Linked DNA regions of Drosophila melanogaster. The protein of the gene in region 1 interacts with the protein of each later gene in a pairwise test. Each region holds a gene or a part of one and is shown on either strand. Other genes may lie near its edges.

Evidence for each region.
Region 2: the proteins of Cp110 (region 1) and Cep135 interact in a two-hybrid assay, tested with the Drosophila melanogaster proteins (one study listed by BioGRID).
Region 3: the proteins of Cp110 (region 1) and Nek2 interact in a two-hybrid assay, tested with the Drosophila melanogaster proteins (one study listed by BioGRID).

The regions. Positions count from the first base shown.
Region 1 is NC_004354.4:22,477,815-22,490,309, reverse strand, and holds Cp110 (centriolar coiled coil protein 110kDa), read right to left. Parts: upstream 7,916-12,495; 5' UTR 7,770-7,915; exon of another isoform or gene 7,646-7,769; 5' UTR 7,574-7,645; coding exon 7,560-7,573; intron 7,472-7,559; coding exon of another isoform or gene 7,469-7,471; coding exon 7,288-7,468; intron 7,224-7,287; coding exon 5,784-7,223; intron 5,074-5,783; coding exon of another isoform or gene 5,059-5,073; exon of another isoform or gene 4,909-5,058; coding exon 4,675-4,908; exon of another isoform or gene 4,564-4,674; intron 4,368-4,563; coding exon 4,236-4,367; 3' UTR 4,226-4,235; exon of another isoform or gene 4,190-4,225; intron 3,253-4,189; 3' UTR 2,852-3,252; downstream 1-2,851. Other genes in the region: l(1)G0196 (lethal (1) G0196), read right to left, coding at 2,521-2,643; CG12576 (uncharacterized protein), read left to right, coding at 9,716-9,798.
Region 2 is NT_037436.4:15,112,482-15,122,421, reverse strand, and holds the start of Cep135 (centrosomal protein 135kDa), read right to left. Parts: upstream 5,686-9,940; 5' UTR 5,562-5,685; coding exon 5,463-5,561; intron 5,402-5,462; coding exon 5,327-5,401; intron 4,949-5,326; coding exon 4,822-4,948; intron 4,762-4,821; coding exon 4,609-4,761; intron 4,512-4,608; coding exon 3,116-4,511; intron 3,048-3,115; coding exon 2,837-3,047; intron 2,775-2,836; coding exon 2,659-2,774; intron 2,545-2,658; exon of another isoform or gene 2,417-2,544; coding exon of another isoform or gene 2,392-2,416; exon of another isoform or gene 2,210-2,391; coding exon of another isoform or gene 1,473-2,209; intron 1,359-1,472; coding exon of another isoform or gene 1,015-1,358; intron 851-1,014; exon of another isoform or gene 801-850; coding exon of another isoform or gene 306-800; exon of another isoform or gene 121-305; intron 1-120. Other genes in the region: CG32847 (uncharacterized protein), read right to left, coding at 306-800; CG16959 (uncharacterized protein), read left to right, coding at 1,015-1,358, 1,473-2,209; CG13458 (uncharacterized protein), read right to left, coding at 6,119-6,414, 6,472-6,578, 6,639-6,915, 6,976-7,383, 7,455-7,599, 7,921-8,078, 8,139-8,652; Ctps (CTP synthase), read right to left, coding at 9,725-9,940.
Region 3 is NC_004354.4:7,885,546-7,895,697, forward strand, and holds Nek2 (Nek2), read right to left. Parts: upstream 6,102-10,152; 5' UTR 5,955-6,101; coding exon 3,747-5,954; 3' UTR 3,521-3,746; downstream 1-3,520. Other genes in the region: Acat1 (Acetyl-CoA acetyltransferase 1), read right to left, coding at 1,893-3,125; ND-MNLL (NADH dehydrogenase (ubiquinone) MNLL subunit), read right to left, coding at 7,585-7,755; CG45089 (uncharacterized protein), read right to left, coding at 7,777-7,941; p115, read left to right, coding at 8,582-10,152.

The DNA.
Region 1 (12,495 bases):
TGGAATCGTTTGCCCATGTTTGCCCACCGATAAGTTTTTTTTTGCCTTCGTTTAGTTTTCGAGATCTGAAATTTCGAAAAAGTTCGAAAAATTTCGAAAATCAAAAAGTGTCTTTTTTCAAAAATTTTTTTTAAATTGTAATAACATCCTTTGCTTACGTTTGCCCATCCCTTTGAATTAAAAAAAAGTTATTATTTAGAAAATATAAGACATTAAAGGCAATATCGAGCAATATTTCTTCCTAATAAATAAATAACATTCAATTAAATACAAAATTTTAGTGTTTTCAAACACCCGATATAAGACAGCTACTATTTACATATCGGTTTTTCTGATTAATTGAACTTTCAGCGTTTCCCCGATTGCCAGACGTACTGAGCATCGATTTAAACATTGACGAACATCCAATTTTAAGAGTTCTAGGGCATAATTCTTAACTCTTAAAATTGGATGTACAATTCACTTTTTGATATATCACTATTCCAGTACTATTTCACTACGTTTTTATATTTCTCATATAGCCACCCAAAAATATGAAATGGATAAATTAAGTTTCGCCCAAGAACAGTCCCAAAGATTCTCTTTAAATCTCCAACTTTGACGAAAACTTTACTTTATACAAGCAAACGAGCACTTACATATACATATGTATGTATAATACATACAGTTTATCTAAACAAAATGGTTCGATACCATCGAAACCATCGAAAACTAACCGTTCTAAAACCACTCCGCTTGAAAGTCGAACCTGGTCTACGAATCTGAGAATGCAAGTGGTCCCTCGTCGGAGCTACTCGAGATTCCAGACGTAGTCGGAAGCCAAAAGCAAACAAATTAAGCAAACAAATGGCATAACCGGGTAATTAATTAATGCAGCCAAGAAACCGAAAACGTAATTAGAACACAGCGCGCCCACCAATTGCTTAAACAATCAAAGCGTAACGGTAACCAAAAAATGTAGATTGTTTAAAACCAGTTACCTAGCGAGCAAAATAGCGCAACATTAAAGAAATGAAAACAAGTGCAAAACCGACGAATCACCGGATGGGAAAACGATGAGGAGCGCGGCTCCAACTCGCTGACGTCTGTCTCTGGATTTTCGCGGGCGGTAAGAAGAGCAGCGGATGGGCGGGAGAAAAGGGATAACAGATAGTAAATGTGGGATCTACGCACAAAAATAAACAGTGCACTGAGAGAAAATTACACTACATTCCGATTTATGTTTGTAAATCTAATTCTGCTCTTTAGGATTTGAGCTCAAAGAAGCTGGCGTCGAAAAAATCGAATTTTTGAAACTTGAAAGCTGGAATCGTTTGTCCATGTTTGCCCAGTCCAGTTTTCGACATCTGAATTTGTAGTAAAAGTTCGACAATTTTCGAAAATCAAAAAGTTTACTTTTTTCATAATTTTTTTTAATTGCAATAACCCGTTTGCCCATCCTTTAGAATTTTGAAAAATGTATACGTTAGAAAATATAAGACATTCAGGTTAATCTCGGTCTACTCAGAAAATAAAGCGTTTGCCCATCTCTTATAACTAAATATTATAAAAAAAAATGTTTACTTTTTTCATCGTTGTGGTGGCTATTCACAACGCCAACTATCTAATTGCGACTTAAAAAAATTTTCATTTTCAATTTTCGAACTTTTTGAAAATTCAGATCTCGAAAACTGGACGTGGGCAAAAAAAACTTTATCGGTGGGCAGACCAACTCTCCAGCTTTCAAATTTCAAAAATTCGATTTTTATTATTATTATTCATTATTTTATCAAATTCATAATATTCTAAGACATTTGTTATTTTATTTCCCAGTTGCTTGTTTTTAAATTTCCTCTCTCAAAGATTTTGTAATATTCCTAGTTATTTTTAAACAGTTTGGGGGCAGTTTTGTTTATATTATTTTTTCGAGTGTAGACCGCAACGCACCGCCCACATTTGGAGTGAAGCTTACGTGCGTCAGCCAGCGACGTCCGCCAAAACGCCACTCTCCCTGCCACGAATTTATCGATGCTGTTGCTCATTACTCTTTGGACTGTTGTTTGGTTATCTCTTCGCTGGAAGGGTGCTCAAGGGATGTAAATTATGTTTATTCCAAAACCACACACACAAACACACATTAGAAAACGAGTAAAAGAGCCGAGAGCAAAAGCTTTTGGCATTGACATTGAACAGTCAGCTGTTGGGAAGAAGCAAAGGAATGAGAAGAATTTAGTAGGAGGCGGAGGAAGAGAAAAAGCTCCACTGCAAAAAGCCGCAAAAAGTCAGGGTCAGCTCTCCGCATGTAAAAATCTACAGTCGAAGTCAGCTAGATTATAACACCAGGTTTAAATACTTTTTCAATGCTCATAATTTTATATTTCACATTCTTATAAAACACTATTTAAAATTAAATAAAAATCGATTTGACTTGTTTTAAAAATAAATACGTGCATGTATAGCACATATAGTATGCAAATAAAAAAAATTATGTGTTTTAGTGGGTTACGCTAGATTTTAGTGGTAAAACGGTGGAGCGCATACGTTGCCATCCTGTAATCCCAAGTAGAAACCGACCCGCTGCTGCGGCTGACTTTGATGCGGATTTTGCTGCTGATGCTGCTGGGATATATCCTGGTACCCTGATTCCAACTCGGTGTAGGACATGGTAATCCTTTGTGTTGGTGTTAGTGCGAGTTATCCAAACAAAACAAGGAGCAAACAACAACACTGGGAAACGTTTTTCGTATTCTGTTTTTACATTTTTCACTCTCACCCCCACGCACGCAACTTTGCCGCGTGTTAAAAATATAAGTGTGCGCTTATATTTTTGTTAACGATTTTTTCTCTCACTGTCCTTCGATTTACGAGTTACGAAATCTGTTATTGGTGTGGTTTTATTATTTGTATTATTATTTTTTCAATTTGGTGTGTCGTTCTAAATTCGCCGCCGGCGGAATTATGGAATTGGGTGGGCAAGGCACGCGGGCAGCTGGGTGAATAACAGGATGAGCGGGAGGTCGGCCAATTGCTGTGGGTTACGTGCTCACTAATAATTAATTGTTATTAAACTAGTTTTCTCTCGCTTTTGATTATTTGTCTGCCTTTGCTGTTTTCTTTTAAGGCCATCACACGCACACACGACTACTCGCTTTAAAAGTTCCGTTTGTTTTGGCAATCCGCCGCAGCTTTCAGGGCGAATTTGTCTAGAAAGCTCCGCAATGTCTTGAAAGCTTGGCTGCAAAAAATCACGCGGGCTTTTGCCAAACAGCTGTTCTGTAAATCAAGAAAGAAAAGGTATTAAAAGGTATTAAAAAGATAATAGAGAGATATAACCAAAAATAAGTATATAAATGTATTTCAGTTCAATATTGCGACTAGTATGTATATTTGTTTGTTAGAATTGCTTATTAATCGTAAGAATTAATTTGTGTATGTAGTTAAGGATACTACCGAATCTACCCATTAAATTTTATATTATTTTAATATTTTTTTAATATTTAATATTTAAAAATATACTTAATATTTAAGTATTAACATATACATATTTTCTTCCATTTCAGCTCAAATATATATATTCCATAATACAAATTAAATAATAACAAGAGAGATTGCTATAGTCGGCTATCAGATACCCGTTACTCAGCTAATGAATATGCCAACGCAAAGTTGGGAAATAAAATGAGAAAAAATATATATGTAAATGGTTCGAGTTGTGGGCGCTGTGGGCCAAACGCCGTTTTGGGAGTTTTTTTTTATTATATATCGATAGAAATGGGCAAAACAAGCAAAAAAACGTAGAAAAAACAAAACATTTTTCAAAAGTGTGGGCTTGACAGCTTTTGGCTGTTTTTAGGCGTTAGAGTGGGCGTGGCAGAGTTTTTTGGCAAATCGCGTCTATGTCTCTGGAAGCTGCATGATAAATCTGAACATTCTAGCCTGTATAGTTTCTGAGATCCTGACGTTCATACGGACGTAATGACAGACGGACGTGGCCAGATCGACTCGTCTAGCGATCCTGATCAAGAATATATATACTTTTTATAATGGGAAACGCTTTCTTCTATCTGTTACATACTTTTCAACGAATATAGTATACCCATTTACTCGTAGAGTACAAAAAGGGTACAAAAATGTAAAAATGTATAGAGAGAAAGTGGAACCAGAAAACTTAAACTTAATAAAAATGTGTTTAGTTAAAACAAGAATGCTTCGTTTATCGTTTCCTCCTTTATTCGAGCAATCTAACCTATGAAATCCTAATCCAATCGGCGATGTTTGAGGAGTAGTTTGGTCTTGATCCTCTGGCGATCCCGAGCGATGATCTCCATGCGGTCCTTTATGTTGGTCTGGAAGAAGATCAGGTGCAGGGTACGACTGGCGGAGCAGAGCTATGAGTTAATTCAATGAATATAAAGGAAAAAGTAGTCAGCTTGTATTAAGTTTGCAAACAAGGCAATTTCAAATCAAATATTTATATAAAATCGCATTAATTATTCTAAAATACCAGTAGTTTTGGTTTTGCTTACTCAAAGTTAAACCAAAGTCAATGTAAGCACAGTAGGTAACACTGCAGTCGAGTTTTTTGACTATCGCATACCCTTCACTCAGATAATAATTAATTTCTAGTTTTATCATCCAAGCCTAATGTACACATTTGGCACCTTTTACACCTAGACAAGTAACCAAGTAACCCACCTGTTGAAGCAATCGCGCCTTGAGGCGCAAGTTTGCAGGCTCCTCTGCATCCAGGCCATGTCCACAAGTTTCCAGGTGCAGGTTCAACACGAAGATCAGGGTGTCTCTGATGGTTTGGACAATGCGCTGCACTTGCTCGGTTGCAAAAAGCCGGCGGACCAAAAATCCTCGCACACCGGCATTAATACGTGTGGCCGCCCACTGGCGCTCTTCCTGTTTCAGCTCGACATATTTCTGGCAGGGATTAGAGGCGAAATTAAACAGGGAACGAAGGCACTTGCTAGTTGGGTTAGTAATTAGGTTAGCTACTGGTGCTAGAGGCTTGGTCCCTCGATTTCCTCGCAGTCTTTGTTAAGGCACTTGCATAACTGACTACCCGAATTGCTAGGGCTTCTTGCGCTGTTTGTGTTGGGGAAGAGGAAATAATAGAATGGGAGTACAGGAAATAGATATTACAGATTATATCGCCAAGGTTTTCACTTTTTTAGGGATAAAATACCTAATTATTATATTAAGTGATTATGCTAAGAATATCAATATCAATATCAATATAAAGCAAAAAAGAATGCTATCAGATACCCGTTACTCAGCTAGTGGATATGCAAACTAGAAATTTCATCATAATTTTTCTGGGATATCGATACAAAATTGGGAATAAAATGAGAAAAAATTTAAAAATTAATTAAAAATGTCAATAGAAATGTACATGTCTAATAAAATTGTGAAAAATATCCAACATATATTCAAGCTTTTATAGTTCCTGAGATTTTGACGTTCATACGAACAGACGGATATGGCCGGACCGACTCGGCTATAGATCCTGATCAAGAATATATATACTTTATATGGTCGGAAACGATTCATTCTGCCTGTAGCATACTATTCAACGAATCTAGTATACCCTTTTACTCTAAGAGTAACGGGTATAAAAATAGAGGACCATAAATAAAAAATCGTTAATGCTTTAGTTAAATAAAAGGAAAGGTCAAATAGCAGAGATTTAAAGTAAGAGTCCAACCAAATTAGCTGCTAACTTAGGTTGGCACAAATGAAAACCTTTGTGACTTAAAGCAAATAAAATATCGCTCAGATTCGCTTGAAAAACTTACATTGCCCAGCCGCTTGGTCGGTGAGGCGCTTTTTGGTGGGGCGCTTCCCCTTTTCGCTATAATGGAGCTATTTTTTCCCGGGGAACTTTTCGGTCGTCCTGCTCCACCTCCAGGCTTCGCTGGCGATTTCTTCACCTCGCGGTCTGCTGCGGTGATTGTTTTTACTAGACTACCGCCCACAGATTGCGATCGGCGCCGGACAACTTGGACACTTCGTCTGCTATTGGTTAAGCTGCTGTTCCGGAGGGGCAACGATCGCGGTGTGCTGGGGGCACTGAGCAGCTGCGGTTCCGAGTCCTTTGATGGTTTTGGACTAAACAGCCTCTTGCGAGCGGAAGAAGGCCCCGCAATTTGGCACTTGTCTTCCATCGTCGGAAAGTCTTCTATGTCCTCTGAAAAGGAGGGTAACGTAGGCGAGGGGGAAAAACGCTGCAGGTCTCCCGTACTGGTGCTTTGCGATATCAGACTGTCAGGATTTTCGGTGGCCGAGGAAACATCAATTTCGGCACACAGTTCCTCTATGAGCTGACGCTGCTGATGATCAAACTCGGCCTGCATGCGACGACGTTCCTTCTCCTGGTGAATGACCAATTGATTCATTCGCTCCCGATGGCCACGCAGATAGTTGCGCACTCCTGCCTTGCGGCTGGCTTCCAAAGCGCCATGCTCGTCCAGCGCCCGTTCTATTATACGCTCCACCTCGCGATCCCGCCTAGAACAGCTGCTGCCGGCGGTTGTGGTTTTAGTGGCGATGGTGCTCTTGGTTGCGGCGCTACTGTTGCTATTGTAGCTGTTGTGGCTAATTTTGCTGCTAATACTCCTTGCACTACGGTTCACCCGCTTGGCCTGAGACTCGATGGTCTGCTTCTCGAAGTTGGCCAAACTCTGGCTGGGTTTCACAGCCAGGGCCTCCCTCTCCATGTGCTCCACGAGAACCTGGGAGGGCTCCTCTAGTGTGAAACTTCTCGAACGCTGAAAATTAGCTGGTTCTGCCAGTGGACTGCCGAGCTCCCTTGCCGTTGTGTCCTTTGTATCCTGATCCTGCTGGTCTTCGGCTACCGCAGGACTTGTGCGCAGGATACACTTATCTGGAACTTTGGGCAGCAGCTTACCCAGTCCCGACTGCTCGAACTGCAGGATACGATCGGTAATGCGATTATGCCGCCTTGGGGAAGTGTTTTCTATTGATTTCACAAATGGTTGAGGCGTGGGAGGATCCACCTGTATGGTGGGCAACTGTTTGCCAAAGACCAGAGTCTGAGGACGAGCCTGGCCCCGTGTGCTGTCATAGATTAACGTTTCTGTCTGCTGCAGCTGTGACACACTTCTCCTACTGGCCATGTCGGATCCCGCCGAGTGTCTGGCCAGGCGGTACCGCTTCTCCAGCGCTTCTGCCATCTGGCGGGCCAGCTGCACCTCGCGCTTCTTGGCGCTCGTCATCTGGAACAAAGTAAAATGGTTACGCCTCAGTAAATGCCACTCCCTGACCAAGAATTTAAATCACCAGCGGTGGCAGTATAGGCTGCCCGTCCAAGTGGAACCGAAAGGAGACAGGGTCCATGGAACTAGAGCCACTGCCCTCGGAGGGGGCGCTCCAGATCGATATGGTGGTCGTGGCCGTTGGTGTGGTGGCCTCGCTGTGGCTACCTCCCATCTCAACTGCAGACAGCAGCTGCTCCATTGCCCTGCTTAATTGGAGAAGCATTAGATTGAGCAAAATCAGTAATTAGAAGCCCGTAAGCAACCGGGATTCATAAAATCCCAAGACCCACTCACCACGTCGCATCCATTGGTGTTTTGCTACTGGGAATTTTTGTTGGGACGTCGAAATGTCAGGAAGCCTTCTCAGAGGTCAGCTGAATCTAGGTGTTTTGTGAAAGTTCATTAAATGTCTGCTATGTTTTAGTTGCCATTAGAGATGACGATGGCACTAGGGAGCCCTCGACTTCCCGCCAAAAATTAGGAAACCTCTGAAGAGTTCATTACATCAATCAAATGATATCCCGAATCGTTGAGAGTTTTGTATTCAATGTTTCTACCGTGGATCGCAGCTACCATCAAGAGCCAATGAGAAATGCTGCTTTAATGCTGGGGAAAACATTTATTTTCAAACGGCAATTCAAAACTCACACGAAGTCCATGCAGCCCTGACGTCAGATATCGATAACCGGACTTTTGGAAGTAGCGTTTTTAGAGAAAATTTGAGGACTCCACAGATTAGCAGAGGAACAAGTTTTCAGTCCTTCCAGAATTATAGTAAAGAAAACGGTGGATTAAATTAGTGTTCAGGAACTTATATTGTATATTTCGTATGCTTCAAAATCTTGTCAAAATTAAAGAAACATTGTCTGCGAAAACTTAACTTTTATTGGTTCTTAACAAACTAATTTGAAACAGCTGGCCGAATTCAACAGTTTACTAGGTGGTTATCGAAACTGGTGTGGTACATTTTGGTATTTGATTTGCGCCGGATGGTATTTTCCTTCGCCGTGCGCGCGGTCACATTCACTGGATGTGTTTTTTTGCGCTGATTGTTGCTCTGGCGCGATCGAATTTGCCTGGAATTCGGGAGTCAACATAATATTTTCGAAAGTCACCAGCTATAGCGAAAAGTATGCGAGTTCTATTACAGCTTGTCGATATGTTGTGTTCGTAACTTCTGTTTGCATATGTTATGTGTGTGTGTTATCTAGTTACAAAACGATCTAAAACCGTTTTTGCAAAGAACGTCCGCAAAACTGAGTTTGTACTTCAAATATGAACTATTTGCGGTTTATATTGCTCCAGATTTCTCTCTTTAAAGTTGCATTGTAGATGCAGTCGTGTGTGTGTGCGTGAGATGGGAGTGCAATTTTTTTTCAACAGTATCAGCTTTGTTTTTTAAGTAGAATACAAGTAATTTTTACCCCTAACTTTATTCCTAGCCCCTTTCCTTTATAAAAATACGGTAAAAGTGTAAGGAAAACAAAAACAAAAAGCGCAAAGTTTCGCACATATATGTGTACATATGCATACACACGCTGAGTGTGGTGTTTCTGTATTGTTTTTTTTTTTGTGTTTCATTCTGCGACGCAATTGAAAAAGACATCGAAGGCCAAACAACTTGGTGTTTTTTACGTTTTGTATGGCTGTAGTTGCTGTTGTTGCTGCTCAGTTGGGCGTTAGTGTTTGGCTCCGTTCTTATTATTATTATTACAACTTTTCCACGCGCTTCGCTCTCTGTTTCTCTTCCACATGCTTGCTTTCGTCCTCTCCCACGCTGCATTGCTGTCTCACTCGCACACAGCCGGTAAGCCAAGCAGCAAACAGCAACAACAACAGCAACGGCGGCGACAATAAATTATGAAAAACAAGGGAATAAGTTGATGAAATAAGTATTTCGAATTAAATGGTTAATCACTGGTGGAAAAGTCGCAGTTCCAATGACACCTTTTCCATGCTGAACTACGGAGTTTTTTTTTGTTCTTAATCGGTATACGTTTGTGAAAACAAGTGCGCTTGTGTGAGTGAGACAGGGCCTCAAAAGCCAGAAAAACATGACAAAAACATTTTGGTAAATTGCCATGTATCCGAAATAATGCTCATGCAACAGTTACATATAAATATTGTTATTTTATTTTCTACGCAGTAGTCGCGGATTTTCAACAAAGAGCAATCATAGTGATGGTATAAAAGAGGGGAAGGACGAAAGCAAAGAGAGCAAACCGAAAACAGTTACTCTGCCCATGCGCACAGCTGACCCAGAACCTGGCATAACGGTAAAGTAATTGTGTCGTACAACAAGCGAAACTTGACAGCGAAAGGGAACCGGAAGTCGCCTAAAATCGCGGAGCGGAAAGGAAATCAGTCCGCCAACCGCGGGAGCTGAAAATCGAAATCACAACCCACAAAAGCGATTCCAAAGTGCTATCTTGGTGCTACTCCCATACAAAATGTTCCAAGTCCTGCCCCGTCCGTCAAGATCCACGTTCCACTGCATAGCGGCAGCCGTTGTCACAGTCGTCCTAATGTCATGGTAAGTCGAAGTAACAATCCATCCAGAATTTTGCCATTAATTGATCCAGCTTTCCTAGAAAACTGACCTCGTATCAAAAAAAAAAGGGGAATCTTAAGACCCTTCTAAGCCCATATTTAAAACTATAGTTTTCAATTCAGTAGATAGGCACAATCAGAGTTTATTGGCAAGATAGTTCTTAGTACTTAATTACTGGTAAAAGTGGCAATTTTCGTTGATCGATAAGTTTGAAACGTGCGGCGTTTAAATTTGAGGAATAAGACAACAAATAAAAAACAATAAAATTTGTAGGCATTACGGGGAGTCCGTCCGTTTTTGGAAAATGTGAAACAGGTACATTGGATGAATGTCCATAGTTGTAATCTGATTTCTGTTAAAAGTTAACAATTGTCGGCGGGTTTTAATTAGGGCAGTAATCTCAATAAATAGCGACACGTAGTGCGTATATTTACGCACTAAATGATGTACATTTTAATTGGGTCGAGCGGGTCCGAATTTCTTCCCAGCCAATTCAGTCTCGTTCCCATTGAAAGAAAGCTGCGCAGCAAAGTGAATATGTAAAATATACTGTGTAAAATCGTATGGTCGGTCACACAAGACAAATTGTGGAGCTGTAGGTAGGAAAGAAAGAAAGAACCTCTTTGCGTGGCCAATTTCGAACTGAAAGTTGCAATGTTTTATTTTCGGAATATATGTGTGTGCACACAAAGATTGTTCCACATATGTATGTATGTAAAAGCGCACCGAAATGAAGCTCATGTGCATGCACATGGCCATCCAAATACAGCTATGGCCAAGACCGTGAAGCACACATTTAAAAAGCGCCCGAAATTAGCATTTTGTGGTTTGTGGTCCTTTCTTTAGTTCCTATTTATTTATTCTTTTATTAAAACTACAAAAATGCATTTTTTTTTTTTGTAATATCCACAACTTGTGAAACTAAACGTGATTACTGTTTATTTATCAGACTGGGCAATTTTTAAAAGTAGTATTATAACTTGTTTGCGCACTTGTTAAACTGATAAAAAGTGTATCAATTTCCGTTCAATTCCGCTGATTATAAATCAGTTCTATTGACTTAGGCTCCGCTGTTGGTTGCTGTGTGTATGCCGGCGATCTTTTGTACGTGCTTGCACCTTCGTTTTAGCTGACTGAAAGGCCCCACCCTTCGCCCCGTTGCGCCGTCCTTGCTTTATATAAATACTCACTTGTACATAAAAATGTCACTCCATGCCCATGCACACCGACCACTCCTCCGCCCATTTAAAGCGTTCTGTGTGGCGCAATTAACCAAAACAGAATAAAATTAAATACACATCATGAATGCACGCAGCCGTTTCGCAGATACAACTCTATACGGCGAATAATTTCGGCTAACGTATTTGCAGGATGGATTTGTCCTTGTGAAATTCAGTCCAATCGATTCACACTGTGATTCGAAAGGATAGAGCACTCCGAATGAAATGATACTTGTCTGTGCAAATAATGTTATTATCTTGAGCTGCTATTGAGCTGAGTTCTTTGCAACCATTTGTTACTATTTCCGGTCACTGTTTAGGAAACGGGCTATGCACATTGTATAGCCCAAGCATTTCATATAATAAAATATTTCTACCAATCTGCCCAACCTATTAACCGTGATACATTAAATGCTCTCCGTGTCCGTATCTAAACCCGACAATTGCTCTATATTTGCTTTCTGCTTTTTAGCCGCTTCACTTGTGCCCCAATAGCTCTCAGCCACAGTTACTAAACAAAAGTACAGGAAGGTAAAAACGATTGGAAGGCAACAATAGCAGCAGTGTCATGAGTGTCCACTGCGACACATGCGCTGGCTGTGCCGAAAAACCACTGACCACCACTCGAAAAACTTGCCGCCTAAGTTCCAATGCACCGCCCCCTCCCATCAACATCAATCCAAAGTGCGAATTAGCAGAGAAACAGCGAGATAATTAATTAGACGCTTTTCAAGAGCAAAACAAGTCGTCAGCGATTCGCAGGGCGAGGAAAAGGAAAAAAAAAAACAAACAAACAAACACTAGGGCACAGCAAAGTCAAATGAAAACAAAAAACAAAAATTTCAAGTTCCTGTTATTTAAAACCGAGCGCTGCTTGAATAATTTATCAGTCAGCTGATATTGTCTGCCCAACTACTGCTACAGTGAGCCCTCTTTTTTTTTTTTTTTTTTTTTTTTTGGTGTTGGTGGTGGCGCGTAGCTCGATACTTTCGATAAGAGGCAGAAACTGAATATCCGCAGATGGGAACCCCGATCGACGGGGCGATCATTGCCTTCGTCAGCTATCTGGAATTTGCTAAACGTTTACTTATTATTACTTATTTTTCATTTTGCACAACTTGTTGGCGGCAGCAGATTCAGTAGTATAAGCGAGAAACCAAATAAATCATGCCCTCGCCATTAATTTGGTATTTTAATAAAAACGCAACAAACGTTATTGTAAATACATTTTGGGGTTCGTAAATAATAAGGTCTTATAAACTCCGCTGATTACAATTGCAAGAAATTCTAGAATTGACTTTACAGATGAGTTCAAATTAATTTCCCATCCGTTGGTGTAAAATAGACTATATATAGACACATATTCTCAATAATTATTCTTAACGATCGAAGGCAAAAGAGCTGTGAACTGACTTTGCTTTTTGCCGTGCGTTGGCCTTACAGTCCAGATACGCACTGT
Region 2 (9,940 bases), on another chromosome or scaffold:
GATATCTCGTTTTTATGCATAACGAAAGTTCATCAAGAACCTATGTATGTACATTCACATACAGTTTTTACTTTTACGACACAACCTGTCGTGTTTAAAACATGAAATGCAGTTTTGTTTCCTAGTGCATTTGAATATTTACTTTTCATTACATTTGTTTTACATAATGCTACACAATACTAAAAAGATTAATGACTAATTATCCGAAAACTTCACTGAACATAATTTGTAAAGGACGACATCTTCCCGGTTATACTGATTCATTTGCACCATCATGGTTTATTTTGATCTTATTCCTATTCTTGCTAAATTACAATCATATAAATAATGAGCATAATGGCCACGTAGAGAAAGAACTTAGAAAGGAGTGTTTCGTTCTGCCCATCCCTTATGCCGTGATCAGCAGCAGGATTGAGTGGCTCGTCCATATCCAGATAAGATGATAGGGCACCATATGGAAAGAATAAACCAAAAAGCAAGTACGAAAATAGTCCCAACTCGAGATCATTTGCGTAATCCGACCAAATTCCAGTTGGACGCGGCGGTGTTTTATCCCGCGGATCCTCCTGCCTTTTATCATTTCGTGCGTACACCGGTATTACTTTGCTCCTATCCACGCCCGACTTGCAAACGGGACACACTGTGTGATCGGGTTTCGTCAATATCCATTGGTACAGACATGGCCAGCAAAACAAATGGCCACACATGCTGACCACGGCATTCTGGGCGGTGTCTAGACATATGTTACACTCGTAGAACGATTCATCCTTGGTGTCCATTACGAAAGTATCAGCCGACATTGTTTCCGATGTGTGTGTTTCTAGCGCAGGTAATTTTGTTTAAGTCTAATGTCTTCTCAAAATAAAATGAAGTAATCTTAACAGTTCATGTGATATCAACAATTATCTATCAGACTTTCTCACTTCAAGGCGATCATTGATATAGGATGATGTGTGCCGTATATATCAATTAAATGTTTAAAAGTTAACTAAACTATAGGCAAATCCTTTCCAGAACCGCAACCGGCAACCGTTGGGGTACGTGCAAGCGACCGCTGCATTGCCCGGAGGACATGCTCTTCTGGCCGAGGGACAACAAGTGCTATGCGAGGCATGCAAAGGGTCCATGCAGCCGGGGTAAACTCCTCGTTCGCAACGAGGAGGGACTGGCCGAGTGCCGTTGCGAGGATGTGGGCGACTTGGCCTCGTTCTACTATCCGGCAGAGGAGTCTTGCTATGAGCACTACACCAAAGGACCCTGCTCGACGCCGGGTCACATCTTCTTGCCCGGCGGTCGATGCGACTGCCAGCGGCACTTGCCGCACTATCATGCTCCGCATCAAATGTGCTATGAGCTGGGTAGGATTGGGATTACATAGCCCGTTAATTTGCAATTACCGCCTTGGAAATGTTGAAATTCTATCTCAACATAATTTTCTCCTATATCGTATTTAATGTTCTCCTATTTTTCAGACACTCCTGGCCCCTGTCCACCTGGTCACATCTTTCGCATACCCGACGAGGTCCAGGAGACAACGGGCAGCACCCTGCAGCTTTTGCCTCGTGCCCAGTGCCAGTGCAAGGAGGGCTATGTGCCCTGGAGCGATGGCATCTGCTATCGCCTGTACACAAGGGGTCCCTGTGGACCCAATGAGTTCCTGGTCAACGGAACCAGCTGTGTGCGCAACTTCTGTGGCAAGAATCGCCTGTACTTCCCAGCGGAAGATTCTTGCTACAGGATTGGATCTCAAGGCCCGTGTGCCCTACATCAGGTGGTGATCTTCGACTTCACCGCCAGGCCATCCATCGATGGCATCTCCTACAATGGAATGTGCGGTTGTTCCGGTGTCCTCACCAATCTGGATCAGCAGTGCACGGGAGATGGAGCGGATAAGGAACAGAATATATGCGAGTCCACGCCCGGAATGGTGGAGATCAATGGGCAGTGCCACAAGCTGTATAGCCGAGGACCCTGCGGCGCGGGTCAGTGGCTAGAGCCACTGAAATCGCAAACCACGAATGGCACCTCAATTTTGGTCCACGCCAGTCGGGCCAAGTGCGTCTGCCGACCGGGTTATACGCCCTCGGAGTCGGATCAACGCGGCATGAGCAACTGCAGCGCTCCAAGTGTCAGCCTGGCGAGGTATTTAACCAACGAGCGACTCAACTCGAAGTTTCTCAATGATCTGCACCTTGGTGGGACCACCTAAAATCCCCAATCTTCAAGCTATTTTCTGTCCGGTTGTGATGACTTTTATTCTTCTTTCACCGCATGCCCACCTAATTTACCCTATATTACCTCCATTACCCTTTGTTTTTGTGTTTGCATGCTCAGTGTTTATTGATCGATGCGATCATTTGTTATTCAATTAACCATTTTGTTCTCTTTTAGGTGGTTTTTAGAAATATTCGGTTAACGTGTTCGATAGGATGAGACAGTGCCATTAATGTATTACATCGACTAATGTACGAGTTGTATTTAAGGAAAATCACGATAAGGGAAATAAAAGAATTTGAAAGACTAACAATATAGAGTCTAGAAATGAAATATAACATATTTTTCATTTTAGCAGAAAAATTGAGTTGTAAATAGGTCAATTATTCTGAAACTCTTTGGTATCGGGTTCTGAAGCACAAACTAAACAATTCTCACACTTACCGCAATTGATCCTCCAGGTCCTTCACATTCTGCTCTAGGGCATTCCGTTTTTCTTTGCAATCCTTTAGCTCATACTCCAGTTTGTATACCCGCTCAGTTTTGGTATCCAATTGATGCTAGTGAAGCAAATAACAATATTGTTAATATCTCTAGAAAATATATTATTAAATGAAGTTACCAGAAGCGTATCCTTCTCGTGTTCTAACGATATATAGGTCTGCCGCAGAGCTCCTAAGTCCATGCGGAGTTGGGTAACCTCGCTGCGATTGGATTCCCGACTGGAGTCCAAGGTGCTGGCCCGAACATCCGCCGACTGTCGTTGACGCTCGGCCACCAAAAGTTTACTCTGATAATCCGCTATGATGCGCTCGTTTTGATCGTTGAGCATGCTGCCAATAAATAAATAACAAATTTATAAACGATATGAAAGCTTAGCAGCAATTCCATTGTTACTAACGTTATTTGATCATTTTCGGTCTTTAGTTGGTCAATTTCGGTTTGCATAGATGCCACACGCTGCCTCATTTGCAACAAGTCCTCCTTAAGCAGCACCAGATTCGTTTCAGTTGGCAGACGAGCCGAGTTAAGTTCCCGATTATCGCGTTCCATTTGCCGCAGGCGATCGTTAAGCTCTTCGTTTCGCAGGCGCAGAGCCTGTAGCTCATCGGCATGAAGTTGAACAGTGCTCAGTTGCTTCTCCCTCAGCGTATCCCGCTCGCAACGAACCCTTTCTAGCTCGGTCCTGGCGCAATCCCGTTCCCGCTCCACCCTTGCAATGGCCGCCTGGACGCAGTCACTCGTATTGCTAGTAACGGTGGAGGTAATGGATGAAGCTGTGGGGGGCGGCAGTGTCTCATACTGCACACTTTTTTGTGGGGAAAATTGCTGCTTTCCTCCATGAAACAGTTCAGATCGCAGGGCCTTTAACTCCTCGTCCTTAGATTTAATTTGGGCATGCAAGAAGGCGATCTCCGACTCGGATCCGGTCTTGCTCATCAGACGCAGATACTCCTTCTGGAAGAAGTCCCGCTCTGATGACAGGCGTATTTTCTCTTCATCCAGGGTGACGTTGGAATGTTTATTCTGATCTTTGAGCTCCTTCTGCAGTTCTAATATCTTTGCTTGCATTTTCTGAATTTTCTTCTTATGCTTTTCATTTGTGGCCTGTAGTTCCTCTTCACGACGAGTCAAAAGATTTAAGCGTTCATTAAGATTATGCTTGTCACTTTGATTGGAAGCAAAGCCACCGGTCAGTCGGTGATCCTTTCCCTTCTTCTTAAGCTCCAACTGCAGTTGCCTAAGTTCCGATTCCTTGGCATCGATTTCCGCATTGGCCTGCTGTTCCACTTGCAACGCAGCTTCCTTGAGCTCCTCCAGCTGCGTTTGGAGCTTTATTTTATCCTCTTCGGAGCTTAGAGCCCGCTGCATAGCATCGTGCATCTTGTCCTGGAATTCTCGAACTTGCATCATTAAATCGCTCTTCTCGCGTTGCAACAGATCGATGTCCTGGGAGAGGGCGCCCACGTCCTTGTAACAGCAATCCTTGGCCAAAGCCGCTAAAGGACGCCCTCCTGCTAGCATGTCGTTTAAGCGGCGAATCTCCCGATTTCTGGCCTCCACTTTGCGCTTGAAGAACTCCAGTTGTTCTCCGGCTGCCGTAAGATCATTCTGCATCTTGTCTAACTCCTCCTGTCCACTGGTTTGCGTCACTGTCACACCGTCTTTGGTCGTTGTGGTGGTCTTCTGGAATACCCCAGCATTGCATTTTGTGCATTTAAGAGCACTGCTGCTAGTGCCCAGTGTAGTTGGCATCGCAATGCCCGAACGCACTGTGGTTATAAAGGGTTTTTTGGCTGGAAAGCAGAACATTTTAATAAAACCAACGTGAATCAGATAGAGATAGTATCTCAGGGAGATCCAATTCTAGTTAAATATCTTTCTTAGACCTACTCTGACGTCCAATGCCAGCTGTCGCCTTTTTGTTCGTGACTGATGAAACCATTTGCTTGGTAAGCAAAGCGTCCAGTTGCCTTTGAAGTCCATCGTTGTGACTCTGCAAATGCTGCTTGTCCAACTCCAGATTTCGGATCTTTCGCTCGGACTCTGAAAAAGTTTAAGGCAGCAATAGAGTTAAAAATCAAATTAAAATCGATTACAACATACCACACAGGCGCAGCTCGTAGTCCTCCCTGTCCCTCAAAAACTGGAGATGCAGTTCATTGCACTCGGCCAGCAGGCGAGAGTTGTCACACTTGTAGGGTTCGACGCCCAGCTCCCAACAGGTCTTTTCCTGCCGAAAGGAAAGCCACAACAGAAGGATTGCTTAGCAACCAATTGAAAAACCACAACATATAAGAAAGAACGTGGGCTTAAAAAGCTAACGTGTAAATATCCTTGCAAGTATTTCACGCTTAATTTTAGGGATTCAATTGAATTGTATAGTCTGCCCTTAAAAATGAAGCATATTTGGCGTATATAGAATAAGAATACTGAAAAGAAGTTTCTCATGGGATCCTCACAATTATAATCATATTTAGATTGACAAATTCTTTTTTATCTTAACAGCACCAACCTGAATCTCTTCAGTAAGAAATTGTGATAATATTATAGTTACACATATATAATCGAGAAAACCCAAAGGTCTTGTACTCTCTACTGGTATACCCACCTCCAGCAGCTCGGCCACCTTTTTCTTGGTATCCCTCAAACATTCTGTGGTCTTGATTAGGTCCCCGAAAACAGCCTGCAATGTAAAAGGTACAGGATTATGCCAAAAAATTAATATTACAGGGTATGAATATTACCTGAACCAGTGGAATGGCCAAAACGGGCAGCGTCTGTGTGAAACCCATGATGTCCAGTTTGCAGCGGAGGTCTTTAAAGTCACCATCGTTGATATTCATGGGAAAACACTAATAACAGCAAAAAAATCACAAGTTTTCTCCTAAATGCCCTAAATTTCAGAAAATGCGCAATGAAAACAATGCTATTCAATCAAATCAAAACAAAACCGGACTTCAACCGATATTTCCTTAAATATATCGGTTATCGAAAGTGACCATCACACCTCAGCAAGGAAATCAATCGAAAATTTGTTTTAGTATTTTATTATCGAACGCAAATGTATCGAAATCAGTATGAAAAATAACATCGATTGCCCAGAAAAAACGTTACATTCAAAATAAAATATAAAAGCTGAACAAAATTTTATATTTTTTATGAAAATTCATAGATTTTACCAGGTATGTACTGCAACCGAAAAGAAGTTACCGAATATTTCAATATAATAATTTTATTATTGTTCATGTGTCTATGGCTATGTCTAAAAAACCAAATTATAATACAAATTTTTTAAACTTTTAGAATTGTACCAGGCTTTACTAAATAATTGACCTTGTCCAAATCAGAATTGTTCGATATTTGTCTTTTTATTAAAAAAAAACTAAGGTGTGGACTGCGATTAATCAACAACAAAACAGTAAAAGTTCTTAAACATAAAAGACGCTTCATTATCTGATATAAAATTACGTTCTGGCTTTTCCGAGGAAAACGGATTTACAGTTGGCGGCATTACGACATTTAAGTGTCGATTCGATTGGTTAATAAATTGAATCATATCCAAAGGGGCCTCGTATTTTGTATAGGAAGTAACTACGATGGGGCAGTTGAGATTGAGTGCAGCTTGAATGGTATCTGGCCAAGTATCCTCCAGAGCGAAACCAGTTGATCGGTACAGACCGCAGTTAAAGAAGCAAACTATGAATTTATGTATAATAATTATTATTAGTTTCGCTTAAATGAGTGTTAACTTACTCAAATTCGGCTGAAGAAAGTGCGATTCTCTGCAGTAATCGTGATATAAACTATTCTCAAAATGATAGTTAACCGTTCTCTGGGCTTTTCTGCAGAAACGGCAGCATCTAAATAGATTGATAATCTTTAGACTAATGTTTAAACTACTAACTAAAAGTGTAACTCACTTGATTTTCTTTAGCTGTTCAAAGGATATATTATTAGGATTAAGTTCAGGTCCAACAAAGACCACATTCAGAGTTTTCACCGCTGGCGTTATGTGGAGCAGGAAGAGTTCCCATTTCTGCAGCATATCCGCCTCAAATTCGATCTCGGCTCCAATTAAGTGAAGAGTCATCTCCTCGCAGTTTCTGAGGCGCTCGCAAAGTTTCAAGGCAAACCAGGCAGTTAATGGGCCAGTGGACACCTGGGTAAGTGCTGCGTACTCACACTCATTGGTAACATCTTTAAATCAGTATAATAATACATTATAATAAAATCCTTGAATACTTCGTGTTTACTTACTAAAGCTTAGCTTCTTCATCATCTGCTTGGTGTTGGAGCAAGCCATGGGCAGCTCTCTAAGAATCTTACTGGGCAGTGATGGCTCCATGCGGCCGAACTGTTCCTGAAACATGATGAAGGCCTTGAAAATCTGATAGGCTCCACACCACTTGGCGTGCTCCTTGCCTCGGTGCTCCGGCTTATCCTTGCAGAAAGCCACCTCGCCACATCCACCGCACATGGATAGACGTTTAAAGCGATGCTCCCGGCACTTTGAGTCGGCGCAGATCAGTGGAAATAGGAGCAACTCTCTCTCCGTTGCGCTGAGCTGACGATTCATCTCCTTCTCCACCTGGCGAATGCACACGATCCGGAAGGAACGGAACTGTTCGTCACTGAAGTCGCCGCACTTGTAGAACATCTCGTGACCTGCATCCGCCCCATCCAAAATTGGCAATTAGTGTGATTTATGAATTTGTGAATCGCCGAAAGACACTCACCATTGCGGTCCACCGTCTGGCGCAGGGCGTAGCACAGCTGGCGGTGCTCCTGGTCGTCTTTCATGTGCCCACTGCTGCAGTAGTAGCTCAGTCCACAGCGGGAGCAGGGTATCCGATTCTGGCCGCACAGATCCGACTTGCAGAACTGCAAGTATTATAAAAGGCTTAGTAAAATAAAATTGTAAAAAAATCTTATTAATGCGCCCTTTACATTTGTATATAGAAATAGGAGAGTACGCTATAGCCAACTTCCTCGACTATCAGATACCCATTACTCATCTAGCGGGAATGCCACCATTAATGAGCATATCGATAGAAACTGGCAAGAAACCATTTTACCTGTTACATACTTTTCAACGAATCTATTATGCCCTTTTCCTTTAGGAGTGTAGGGTATACAAATGTAGAAGTTTTAAACTATAGTCCCTTCAGCAATTAAGCACAGTTTGTAATGAATACTACCTACATTGCACAGTGAGGCCATAAAATATTGCCTTGGCTTATAGATGTACTCCACATACTCCTCCACTTCCTCATCGGATGACTCGACATCGCTGGGCGGCGCTTGGCTGAAAAGCTTTCCAAGATTGCTGAATAACGCGGCTGCTGGGGATTCACCAGATCCTATCAAGCATATTTTAGTTATGTTGAATTGTATATACTTCCTAATGATTATCTAATTACCCTTTGGCAGTTTGCTGCCCAAGCATTTGAGTAGATCATTTATTTCCTCTTCTTTTGAAATTCCAGATGCCTTGGCTTCTGTTTTGAGTTTTGGAGTAACCGAGGTACTCGAAATCTTTGGTTTCTTTTCTTCACTTTTGATTTCCTTTGGTTGGGTAACTATTTTGACCGGATCAGTTGATGGCTTATTTTCGCTGGATGGCACAGCACTATTTTTGGCCAATAATTTCCTACGTAACAGTTGCTGTATCAGCCGGATTGTATCGTTCTCTTGCGGATTTTCCACTTGACCAATTTTTGATAATGATTCAAGCAGAGAATTTCCACTTGTAAGTAAGGGCTTTTCCACCGGAGGTTTACTTTCTACACCATTTGCCGCTTTTGAGCCATTACTTTTGAGTGAAGACGCAATTGCGTCTGGAGATTCCCCTTGATCCTGTGGCACCTGGTTGATCTTGTTGCGCTGGCGATTCCGAATCCTTGGCTTCTTTTTGTGGACCCCCGACTGAATCATGTTAGCTGCGTTTCTCTTATTTCGAGTGCAAAATTAGCCAGAGCACGTTGCTCAATTGAACGAACAATGAAGAATGCGCATTGTTCTTGGTTGGGAGTCTTGCGGTCCGCCTCGATTCAATTGGCCGCTAGCCATCGCTTCTCATCGCGGCCGCAAGCCCAAATGTATGCCCTGGCTATTTTTGTTGGGCACGGGCCTGACGATGTCTGACAACGCCAGCCGGTATCTGAATCCGCATCCCGCATACGAATCTCAATTCGCATGGGCTAGCGTCCATTATTATTCTCGAGTACCAGCGTTTGATTAATTCTCTGCCTATCTCAACTAATTGCGTCAACAAGCAGAAAATTACACTGAAGTCCACTCTGTGGTGCTCTTTAAAAATATAGTTCTTGGCAGAAAAGGGATTATACATAATCCCTTAATATATTTGTAAGAATTTAGAAAAAACAGTCAGTTTTTTAATAAGGTATCAGTTGCCAAAAAGTATTGATGGAACTGTCGTTAAAAATAGAAGCAACAATTGTTTTCAAAGTATTCCAATAGTTTATGTGTGAACAAAATCATAACAATTGGTATGGATATCTTGAAAAGCGATTTTTCCATAAATTCGGAAACAAATAAGCTTATTTAGCATGTTTCAATTCCAATTTCGAAATTTCGCGCCCAATTTGAAAAGAGAGAAATAGCACACATTTACTTTCCACGCACTATTTCCAATACCGTTCTTGCTGCCCGCTAAGTTCAAAATAAAACACAAACATTTGAAATTGTTCCATTAGTTATTTTTTTTTTCGCATCCAAAAAATATATATGAATTAAGATTTTCATATAAATTAAAAATGTACGGAAAGTAACATCGTAGTTTACTTAAGCTTAGGAGAAATTATAAAGGGTTTCTTATTATTAATGCCTCTTTCATAAAAGGTCAAAATTTTCAATTCGCAAATACCGTATTATACCCACCCAGTAATACTTAAGTTATCCCAAACTTTTGGGGTTTTGCGATAACAAAAGTACGTCTGATAATCGGATGTTAAACACTTTAGGATATAAGATACCGTTCACTAGTTTACTTATGGCCATTGGTAGGATCAACGCCTCCGCAGGCACCTTCGCTGTCGGAAGTGCTTATGCTACCATTGCAACTTTTTGATATTCCATTTGTGGGTGTAATGGGAATTTTCAAGGAGCTCAGCGATTTTGTTGCTCCGGCCAAGCCCACAACACTGTCCTCCTCATCCGAGGATGCGTCGGATAGCTGGCGGGGCGACAGGCGGCAACCGCG
Region 3 (10,152 bases), about 15 Mb from region 1:
CACCAGTTGATCAACTGCAATGTGATGACGCAGAGTTCCGGTGGCCAGGTGCTGCTCCACACGTACTTCCCTTACGCGCCTGGCCAATGCAACGATTCCCAGCCGACCAGGATCAATATGTTTTTGGGCGAATCGTGGAAGCATCGCGACTACTTTCCCTCCAAGTTGCATAACCTCAACGGGTGCCCTTTGATTGTTTTGGCTAGGAAAGTGTCGCCCTTTTTAGACCTAGATGAGGGGCAGCGAGAGCTTCGCGGCTTGGAGGGGCGTCTGCTGCAGGAATTGTCGCGCAGGATGAACTTTAGCATACAGTTTTCGGGCTTACAGGATCAACTGAAGAATCGCACAACATGGACGGAGAAACAGTTGCTACAGAAGCTGGTAGGATCGATCATTTGAGAATTTCATTGAACGATAATTTTAATAATATTTGAACAGGTCCAGGAGCGTATAGCCCACCTGGCGATTGGTTATGTGAGGAAGCGCATCCAGTACGCAACGAATCTGACGCCCGTGTTTCCGCATTACTCGAACCGGGTGGTGGGATGTCTCCTGTTGAATGCCCACAACCTGACCAGCCTGGAGATTTGGTCGTTTCCGTTTCAGGCACTCACTTGGATCTGCCTGGTGTTTAGTTTTTTGAGTATATCCTGCCTAGCATTGCTCCATTGACGCGGCGCGGGGGATCGGTTGGCTCTCGTTCTGGCGGTCTATGCCGCCTCACTTGGCTTGCCCATCGATCCCCCTGAGCGGCCGTCGCTGCAGTTGCTCTTCGCCAGTTGGCTGATTTTTGGCCTGATCGTTAGATCCATGTACTCGGCGCTGTTGTTCTTCATCCTGCGATACCATCTGCACCAGCGATTGCCAGGAAATCTGCAGGATCTAACCCATGGCGACTATGCGGCCGTAATGGGTCGGACCACGTTGCAAGATCTGAGGGAGGTGCCCAGTCTGCAGGATCTGCTGGGTCTCAAATCCGTGATAGTGACCTCTGAACGGGAGGAGGAGGTGCTTCGCACGTTAGATCGGTGTACGCTGCGAGAAGGAGCCGGCTCACATCCACTTTTCTTTGGCCTGATTTCCCAGGATGCACTTCTCCATCTCACCCAACGGGGCCATCGGGCTGGAGCGTATCACATCATACCGCAAGACGTTCTGGAGCAGCAGCTGGCCATTTATCTGCAGAAGCACTCGCATCTGGCCAGCCACTTGGACCACCTCGTCATGTCCATTCGATCCGTTGGCCTGGTGCACCACTGGGCGGGCCAAATGGCTAGCGAGCGGTACTTCCGCAGTCGGTTCCTGTACCGGGAGAAGCGCATCCGACAGCCGGATCTGTGGGCGGTCTACATCCTGACCGCAGGACTATATCTCCTGTCGCTGGTCGTCTTCATATGCGAACTTCTGGCCTCCAGACGAGCAGGGCTCTGAACAAAATATTTTACTTATTATTACTAAATAAATTATGAAAACAAGAGAGAATGCTAATGCTTTTACTTTACGAGTAACGGGTATAATATCCTTAAATGCCGAAATTATCATTTTTTTAGGTATATATTAAATGGTGAATTTATAGGCATATATATATATATATATAAATTCAACAATAAAGAACATTTTCAGCACTTAATTCATTTTTTTCACAGAACAAATATAAGATGTTTAGACTTTGAACCCTATTACCGTCATGGAAGAACACTGATTTGATATACATATAATAATTATTGACTGTTTCATAATTTTATTATGCAAATCACAATAGTTCGTTAAATGCGGCCACGCGCAATCAAGACACTTAACAATTTAAAAAAAAACATAGAGCTTTCCACAATAATCTCGATGGATCAGTAGTAAATGCATTTCTGGTTGAGAGCAGGTCCGCCAGGTGACCTTTACAGCTTCTCGATGAGAATGGAGGAGGCTCCACCGCCGCCATTGCAAATGGAGGCGCATCCCAGCTCGCCCTTCTTCAGGCTGTGCGAAAGATGGGCCACCAGACGGGCTCCGGACATGCCGATTGGATGGCCAATTGACACGGCACCTCCATGAACATTAACCTTGGCTGGATCCACATCCAGTTTCTTGATATTGGCCAAAACGACCAGGGAGAAGGCCTCATTGACCTCCCACATGGCCACGTCTTCCTTGCGAACGCCGGCACGCTTCAGTAATTTGGGAATGGCCAGAGCTGGGGCAATGGGGAAGTCAATGGGATCGGTCTCCGCATCCTGGAAGGCCACAATCCTGGCCAGCGGCTTAATGCCCGCCTTCTGGGCTGCCTCGGCACTCATCAAAACCACGGCGGCACCGCCATCATTCAAGGTGGATGCATTTCCGGCTGTCACAGTGCCATTTTCCCTTTGGAAAACGGTGGCCAACTGTCCAAACTTGTCAAAATTCACCCGCTTGTACTCCTCATCCTCTGAGATGACGATCTCCGGCTTCCTCTTCTGCTGAATCTTCACCGGGGCAATCTCGTCCTGGAACACCTTGTTGGCCCACGCGGCAGCCGATCTCTTGTATGATTCAATGGCAAAGTCATCCTGCTGCTGACGTGTGATCTCCAGTTTTTTGGCCGTATTTTCGGCACAGTTGCCCATGTGGAACTTGTTGTACACATCCCAGAGGCCATCGAAAACAATGCCGTCGGTGAGATTGACGCCGCCATAGGGCGTGGCTCCCCTCTTCAGATAGTAGGGAACATTCGACATGGACTCCATACCGCCGGCAACGACCACATCAGCATAGCCGAGCATCAGGGATTGGGCGCCCAGCATAACGGCCTTCATGCCCGACGAGCACACCTTGTTCACCGTGGTGCAGCATACATTGGTGGGCAGTCCGGCGAAGATGGCAGCCTGACGGGCGGGGGCCTGTCCCAGACCAGCAGATACCACATTGCCCATAATCACCTCCTGGACATCGGTCTTCGCAATTCCGGCCTTTTCGATGGCCGCCTCGATGGCACGGGCTCCCAATTGGGTAGCCGTCAGTGGGGCCAATTGACTTTGGAAGCTGCCAATTGGTGTGCGGGCTGCCGAAACCACCACAACTTCGGCGATTTTGGAGCTGTAGTTGCGATGGGCGCTCCAGCGACGCGTGGCCTGCAGCAGTCGGGCGGACATCTTGGAATTTAATTAATTTGTATTAACTAGCACAGCAATCACACAGGTAAATGGCAAGAATCCAATCAGAAATCACGCCAGACCTGTTGCTTGCGTAACAAACCGGTAATCGGTCTATCGATAGGCAACAGCTGGCGCGGTAAAAGTGTTGGCAACTGTTAAATAAGATTAAAGCGACTGGTAATTTTCTATTAGTTAGCATTCTTTAAATGTAATTTTTAATTTTTGCTGTTTTAAGTATATTGCTTGAAAACTACGCTGTAAAGATGCAATGCTAAGTTTATATATTCTTTTTACAATACCCAGCACTGAAAATGCGTAAATTGAACTTAACGGTTACAAGCGAACAACAATAAATAAAAACACGAAAATTGAAATTTTAAACACAAATGTATCTCATTTCATCAATATTTATTTTAAGACTAATGCAAATTGCACAATGAATGGCAGCTGAAAAAACTGGAATCTTAATGCTAATAATACGTGTTTAAAATATGGCATTCAAAAAAATTTTTGCATAAAAAAAATGTAAATATTTCGGAACTTATTCCACATCACAACGCTCATAGTCTCCATGGTTGCCATGGCTCCTGGACTGCACATCTTTCCTGATCAATTTGATCAGATCACCATCTGGTCGCGCGTTGTTAGCTTCTGATGGCCAGTGGCCACCACCAAAGACCTCCGCATGCGGTTCCGCTGCAGCGTGGAATTCCGTTCCCTCACCGATTGCCGCAGATGCTGGCGACGTGCTCCTCCGGGTCCAGAACCAACGACTCCACCTCCGCTTGCCTCCCTCTCGGCTGCATTCATGGCCGCCAGCAGCTCGAAGGCTTGTTTCTTCTGCTCCTTTGTCCAGAGATTGGCCACTGGTGGAACTTCTGCCGGCTGTTCCTGCGTGATCGGTGGCTTGACGGCCAAAGGAGGTCGCTGCACGCGAGTTGCAGCTGCTTGGGCTACCTGGTTGACCGATGGCAAGGATTTGGATGTCGCCTTGGATCCGCGACTCAACCCGAAAAGCGAGAGTATAGATTTCCTGCGGGTGGAGGAGGCCTGGCTGTCACCGGAATCATTGCTGGATACGCTCATTTGCATGGGAACGCCAGTGGGCGGAGGATTCACTGCCGGTTTAACCGCCGGTGGGGGCATATTCTCGATACCATAGGTAACAAACTTTTGGGGCGACTTGAAGGTAACCTTACGCAGAGTATTTAGCGATTTTGGTGCCGGAAGTGTGGCTAAATTGAGTTTAGCCACCGTGGGCGACGTCTCGTTGAGTTCGATAGTGCAGTAGGTGTCATCATGGTGCGATTTCGCTGGCTTCCTAGGAGGAATGGGCGGAGCTATCGGCTGTCTGCAACTACAAGTGTGTTTCTCCTGCTGAAGAAGTTTTTCCTGCATCTGCCGCTCCAGCGTTTGCACGCGCTGTTCGGCCAGCTGTAACTCCTGCTCCCGGGTCTGCAGCTCTTCGAGCTTCTGCTGCAACAGGGATTCTTGGGCACGAATGGCGTGGAGACGGGTCTTTAGTACTTCATCGAATATGTTTTGGGTAAGAGCACGAGGACTGCTAGGGGCCTCCTTTAGAAGCTCCTGATCCCTTTTCTGCTGCTCCTGATCCTTTTTACGGCGCCGCTCTTCCGCCAGTTCCACCTGCCTCTCCTCCGCTCGCTCCTCTCTCCTTATACTTTCATAAAGAGAGGGATCCGACAGCTGTAGTTTCTTGGCAGGAAAGATTTTGCGCTTGGCGGAGTAGAAGAGTTCACTTCGCAAATCTGGAGTAAACACACCAGTAACGCTGAGTCTCCTTTGCCCATAGCCTTCATTGAAGCTGTACTGTTCCGTAAACATGGTGCTCGATAGCTCTGGATGAACTCCATCTTCCTCTTCGTCCTCGAAAAGCCTGGCACCCGAAGGCAGTGTGTAGAAATCCTCTCCAGAATCAACTAGAATTGGGAACTTGCCATCCAACTCGCTAATATTACGCACCACCAGAGGATGCCGAATGATAACCTCGATGCCAGGACGCTGTTCATGATCCACTGCCAGCATGAAGGCGATGATCTCCTGCAGATCAGTACTATAGATTGCCGGAATCCGACTGAACTCACCCTGGGCGATCTTCTCGGACAACTGGTCAAAGGCTCTGCCGCGAAACGGCGGTCTTAGGGCACACATCTCGTATACCAAACAACCAACGGCCCAGACATCGCTCTTCCGATCGTATTTCCTGCCCTTCACCAACTCCGGACTCATGTAGTGCGGAGTGCCCACAAAGGAGGCGGCAAAGCTCTGATCTCGTCGCAGCATTCTGGCCAGACCGAAATCTCCCAGTTTGGCATTCCCGGCCGCATCCAGGAAAATATTTGCTGGCTTGATATCGCGATGCAAGATGGTTCCGTTGGGGATTTTGTTGTGGCACACCTGAAGCGCCCGGCAAAGTTGGAAGAGCACCCGCCAGATGTAGGGCTCCTCAAACCGCTGCCTCTGGGATCTCGCTCGCTGGACAATCTGGGCGAGATCGCCGCCGGCACAGCACTCCATAACAATGTACACCGACTTGGCCTCTCGGTTCACCAGATGATGGTAGTATTGCACAATGTTAGGATGCTGGAGCTGCCGCAGAACACTGATTTCCGAAACCAAAGCGTCGCACTTGGCCTCGTCCAGTTCATCGTAGTTCATTCCCTTCCAGGCGAACAATTCACCGGTGCTTTTGTCGCGCACCTTGTAGCAGGTGCCGAAGGATCCATTCCCCATCACGGCCAAAACCTCGTAATCCTGCAGGGTCTTTTGCGAAAAGTCCATGCCGGCAGATTCCTCTCCGCTCATTTTGCCTTAAGTCTTTTTTTTACTCTTTGGGTATTTTGGGTATTCCGCCGCCGATTACAAATGATCCGCTTGCTACAAAACCCAAACACGATTTGAGACTGGTTTTTGGGATGCAGGATTTCTGGAATTCTCATTGCTACCTGCAAGAACGGGAGAGAGAGCAACAACAAGTGCGCGAGAGAGAGGTTTAAGTAGTGCCGCTACCCCGCTAAATAGGGCGGAAGAATGAATATTCTAAAAACAAGCTAGATTTGTAATTTTTACAAAATACATTTTGCAAATATGCAATCTAATGATATAATTACATACATAAACAAATAGCTATTTCATCATTAAATTAAGAAATTGTAATATGGATTAAAATACAAAACTATTTAAAAACCAATATACAAGACAACTACCGATTAAAATTGATAGCAGTCATTTCAACCTGACCTTCATATAAATAACCTCTCCATAAAACCCTTTCGCACCTGCATGCTAATGCCCAATTTGGCTATTTTCCCGCCGAGAGACACCAGCACTGTTATGTTATTGTTGCACGTCTGGATCTCTCGTTTCCTTCCAGGAACAAAGATCGTGCTATTACCCTCTCGCTCCCAACCACAGTTCAACGGTATCCACTTGCAAATCTCTGGCATCTCACCCTCTCGCTCACGCTCTCCCCCGCTGTGAGAGAGAGAAAGCCCTTGAAAGGCGAAAATCTGGAAAATCCGTTCCATTTGATCCCACTGCGCCTGTGTACAAACTACTGACCATTGGAAACAATGGTCTAGAGAGGGGCAGCACGCCCAAGAACACAATTCCAGCGATTCATCACGCTCAATTTTGGAACTCGAGCCCAAAACCGATCTTAAACCGGAATCCAAAACCGAGTACAAACCCCTAGCCCTGAGCCATAAAAATAAATTAGTTTTGTTCCATTGGCATTTCAATTTGCTGCCTTGTTTGTTAAAGTGGAAATGTCCTTATCGGATTTCATATTTCATATTTGAAGTGAGCGATTATCCATTCTGTCTAACGGTTTTTACTGGAAGCAGTTACATAGTACATATAGGCATGGTCGTGCAAATGAAAGTTTTTAGGGGGCTCATGCTTATAAAAGTTTTTTTTTTCTATTAATTCTTAAAAATCTCGATTCACATGTATTAGATAATTCAATGCCATTTAACGAAACTCATTTAAAAAGACTACTCTCGGTTACCACATTTCAAGTGATTTATGTGACATGCTCAAGAAGTTCTACAATAAATAATAAGAGTTTTGGTAGAATACACCAATGCTCTTCTAAAATATCCAGCCTACGCCCCTGATCCGAACTAAGCAGAACTCGCATATCGTGCAGCGATGCCCAGGTAAAATCCTTCGAAAAACGAGTTATCTCCTTGGATTTTTCATTGGTTTTCGGCTTATCGTTAGACGTGTGTTGAGGTTTTTATGTTTTTCCTGAGTAAAACAAACAATGGTACGCAATCCTTCACAAATAAATCACGTTCCCGACCGCAAATCTCGTCCGCTGGCCATGCAGGTAAACTAGACGACAGGCGTATTTCACATTTCTCCGGTTTATTGAATAACAGTGAATTGGGGGAAAAAAAATAATATTTTGGGATGGCGATGTTGGGCAGGCCTACCAGGATGGCGCCTTACCCTCGCTGCCGGCGGGACGGCCGTATAGGGCACTCTTGTCCCGGAACATGGTCATACGTTCCGTTTCCTTCTTGTCCAGGAAGTGGCCAATGGCAAATCCCAGCAGGGGCAACGCGCCCCACAGTGCTCGCTTATCCAGTCCCAAGACCATGGTGTATATTTGTGTATCCTCTTAGCGCTGATCCTTCAGCTGGGCTCGGTGTGCCAACTGGAGCTGCTGGCGTTTCCACTGGCGGGTGTGCGACCAATCTGCGTAAATCGATCCGACTGCAACAGTGGGAAAGAATATCACTGCGCCGTACTTTCGAGCCAATTGAACCACAATCCCACTGCCCATAGGTCTGCAAGACAAGCACAGGAGATGGCGAGATTTACATATGATTTACACAAATTGATGTGGGGATTGTTATGTTATGGGTTGACATTTTGCCGCATTACGTAATAAAAACGAGTGATTTCTCCCAGCGTCGTGATAACTGTGTTGATATTTTTGAGAACTTCTTACGCCGCGTGTGTGGAACGCTTTATATTGTATTTTTTGGGATTCTCTCGTTTAGTTTTAAACACAAATTTGCTAAATTAGTTTTGTTTTCAACTTACTTATAGCATCGATAGCACCAGGGCTGTCGAGTCGTTTTTAGTTTAATAAAATTTTGGCAGTAAGACTATCGCCGACAGGGATGCCACTCAGCTTAAGTCCCGACGTCAGCTAGAAAGTAGCAATATTTTATGTAATTCAAAAAAAAGTTTTAGATTATCAAAAAAGTGTAAATATAGGTAATTACACAAACATGGTCAAATATGGTAAATTGTAATTCTAAAAATATATTTAATATATTTAAAGACAAGCCGCTTATCGATAAGTGGGCGTCTATCGGACTTTAGCCATCGCTAAGCCGCCCGTCAATTGTTTTCATGAATTGACGTGTCTTGTTGAATGCGAAAAAACCCAGAATAGACCGTAAACACACACTCGCATGGAGTTCCTGAAGAGTGGCATCAAAACGGTGCTGGGCAGCACGGAGCCGGGTCAGCAGCCGAGTGCCGCCGAGACGGTGGAGAAGCTGGTGGACCGTGTCTACTCCTCAACGCTCCTGGAGGATCGACGGGATGCCTGCCGAGCGCTAAAAGCCCTGTCCCGCAAGTACCGCATCGAGGTGGGCGCACAGGGCATGCCTCCGCTGGTCCAGGTGCTCCAGAACGACGGACAGGATGCAGAGATCATCAGCTATGCGCTGGACACACTGTGCAACGTGGTTACTAGCGAGGAGTTCGACGAGGAGGCTGATAATCCCACCGTTTCGGTGAATGTGGGCGAGCAGTTCACGGAGATGTTCATCAAGACACCGGAGCATGTAACCCTGGTAATGGGCTATCTGGACGAATACGATTTTCGAGTGCGTCGCGCTGCCATCCAACTGATTACGTCCCTCATTTCGAACAAGACGCGGGAGCTGCAGGATTTGATTCTGGTCAGTCCGATGGGCGTTTCCAAGCTGATGGATCTGCTGACGGACAGCCGCGAAGTGATTCGCAACGATGTCCTTCTGCTGCTTATCGAACTGACCAAGGGCAACTCAAACATCCAAAAGATTGTGGCCTTTGAGAATGCCTTTGACCGCCTTTTTGAAATTGTCCGTGAGGAGGGCTGTTCGGATGGCGGAATTGTTGTGGAGGATTGCCTAATTCTGCTATTGAATCTTCTCAAGAACAACTCCAGTAATCAGCAGTTCTTTAAGGAGGGCAGCTATATCCAGCGATTGTCGCCAATGTTTGAGCTCTCACAGGATGCGGAAGAGGTTGGCTGGTCGCCACAGAAGGTCTCAAACTTCCATTGTCTGCTGCAGGTGGTGCGGGCACTGGTCACGCCCAGTAATCAACAGCAGGTGGTGGCCGCCTGCCAGCGGGTCATGCAAAAGTCTCGACTGCTCCATGCTCTTTGCGAGATTCTGATGAGCAGTGGTGTCCCTGCGGATATACTCACGGAAACCATCAATGCAGTGGCCGAAGTGGTGCGCGGCGATCGGGACAACCAGGATGAATTGGGAAGAGTTATGGCTCCGAGCAGTCCACCCAGACCTGCCATCGTGGTCCTTCTTATGTCCATGATCAATGAGAAACAACTGCTGGCACTGCGTTGCGCCGTACTCTACTGTTTCGAGTGCTTTCTTTATCGCAATGCCGATGGCCAGCGGGCGGTTGTACAGACCCTGCTGCCCTCCAGTGCGTCCGATGTGAGTGCCCTTTCGACGGGACAACTCCTTTGCACCGGACTCTTCTCCACAGATGCGCTTGCCAACTGGTTCTCCGCTGTGGCCCTAATGCACTCACTCGTAGAGAATGTCGCCCTAAAGGAGGAACTACTGCGCGTACTGCTGGCCACTCCTGGTGGCCAAAAGCCTATCACGCTACTCGAGCAGTGCACTAATCTCATGCAGCAGGAACGCTACCGTTTGCAAAGCAAGGTGGGTCTGCTAATGCTACTCAGCCTGTGGCTGGCGCATTGTCCAGGTGCGGTGAAGGCTTTGCTGGAAACGCAGGGCACCAT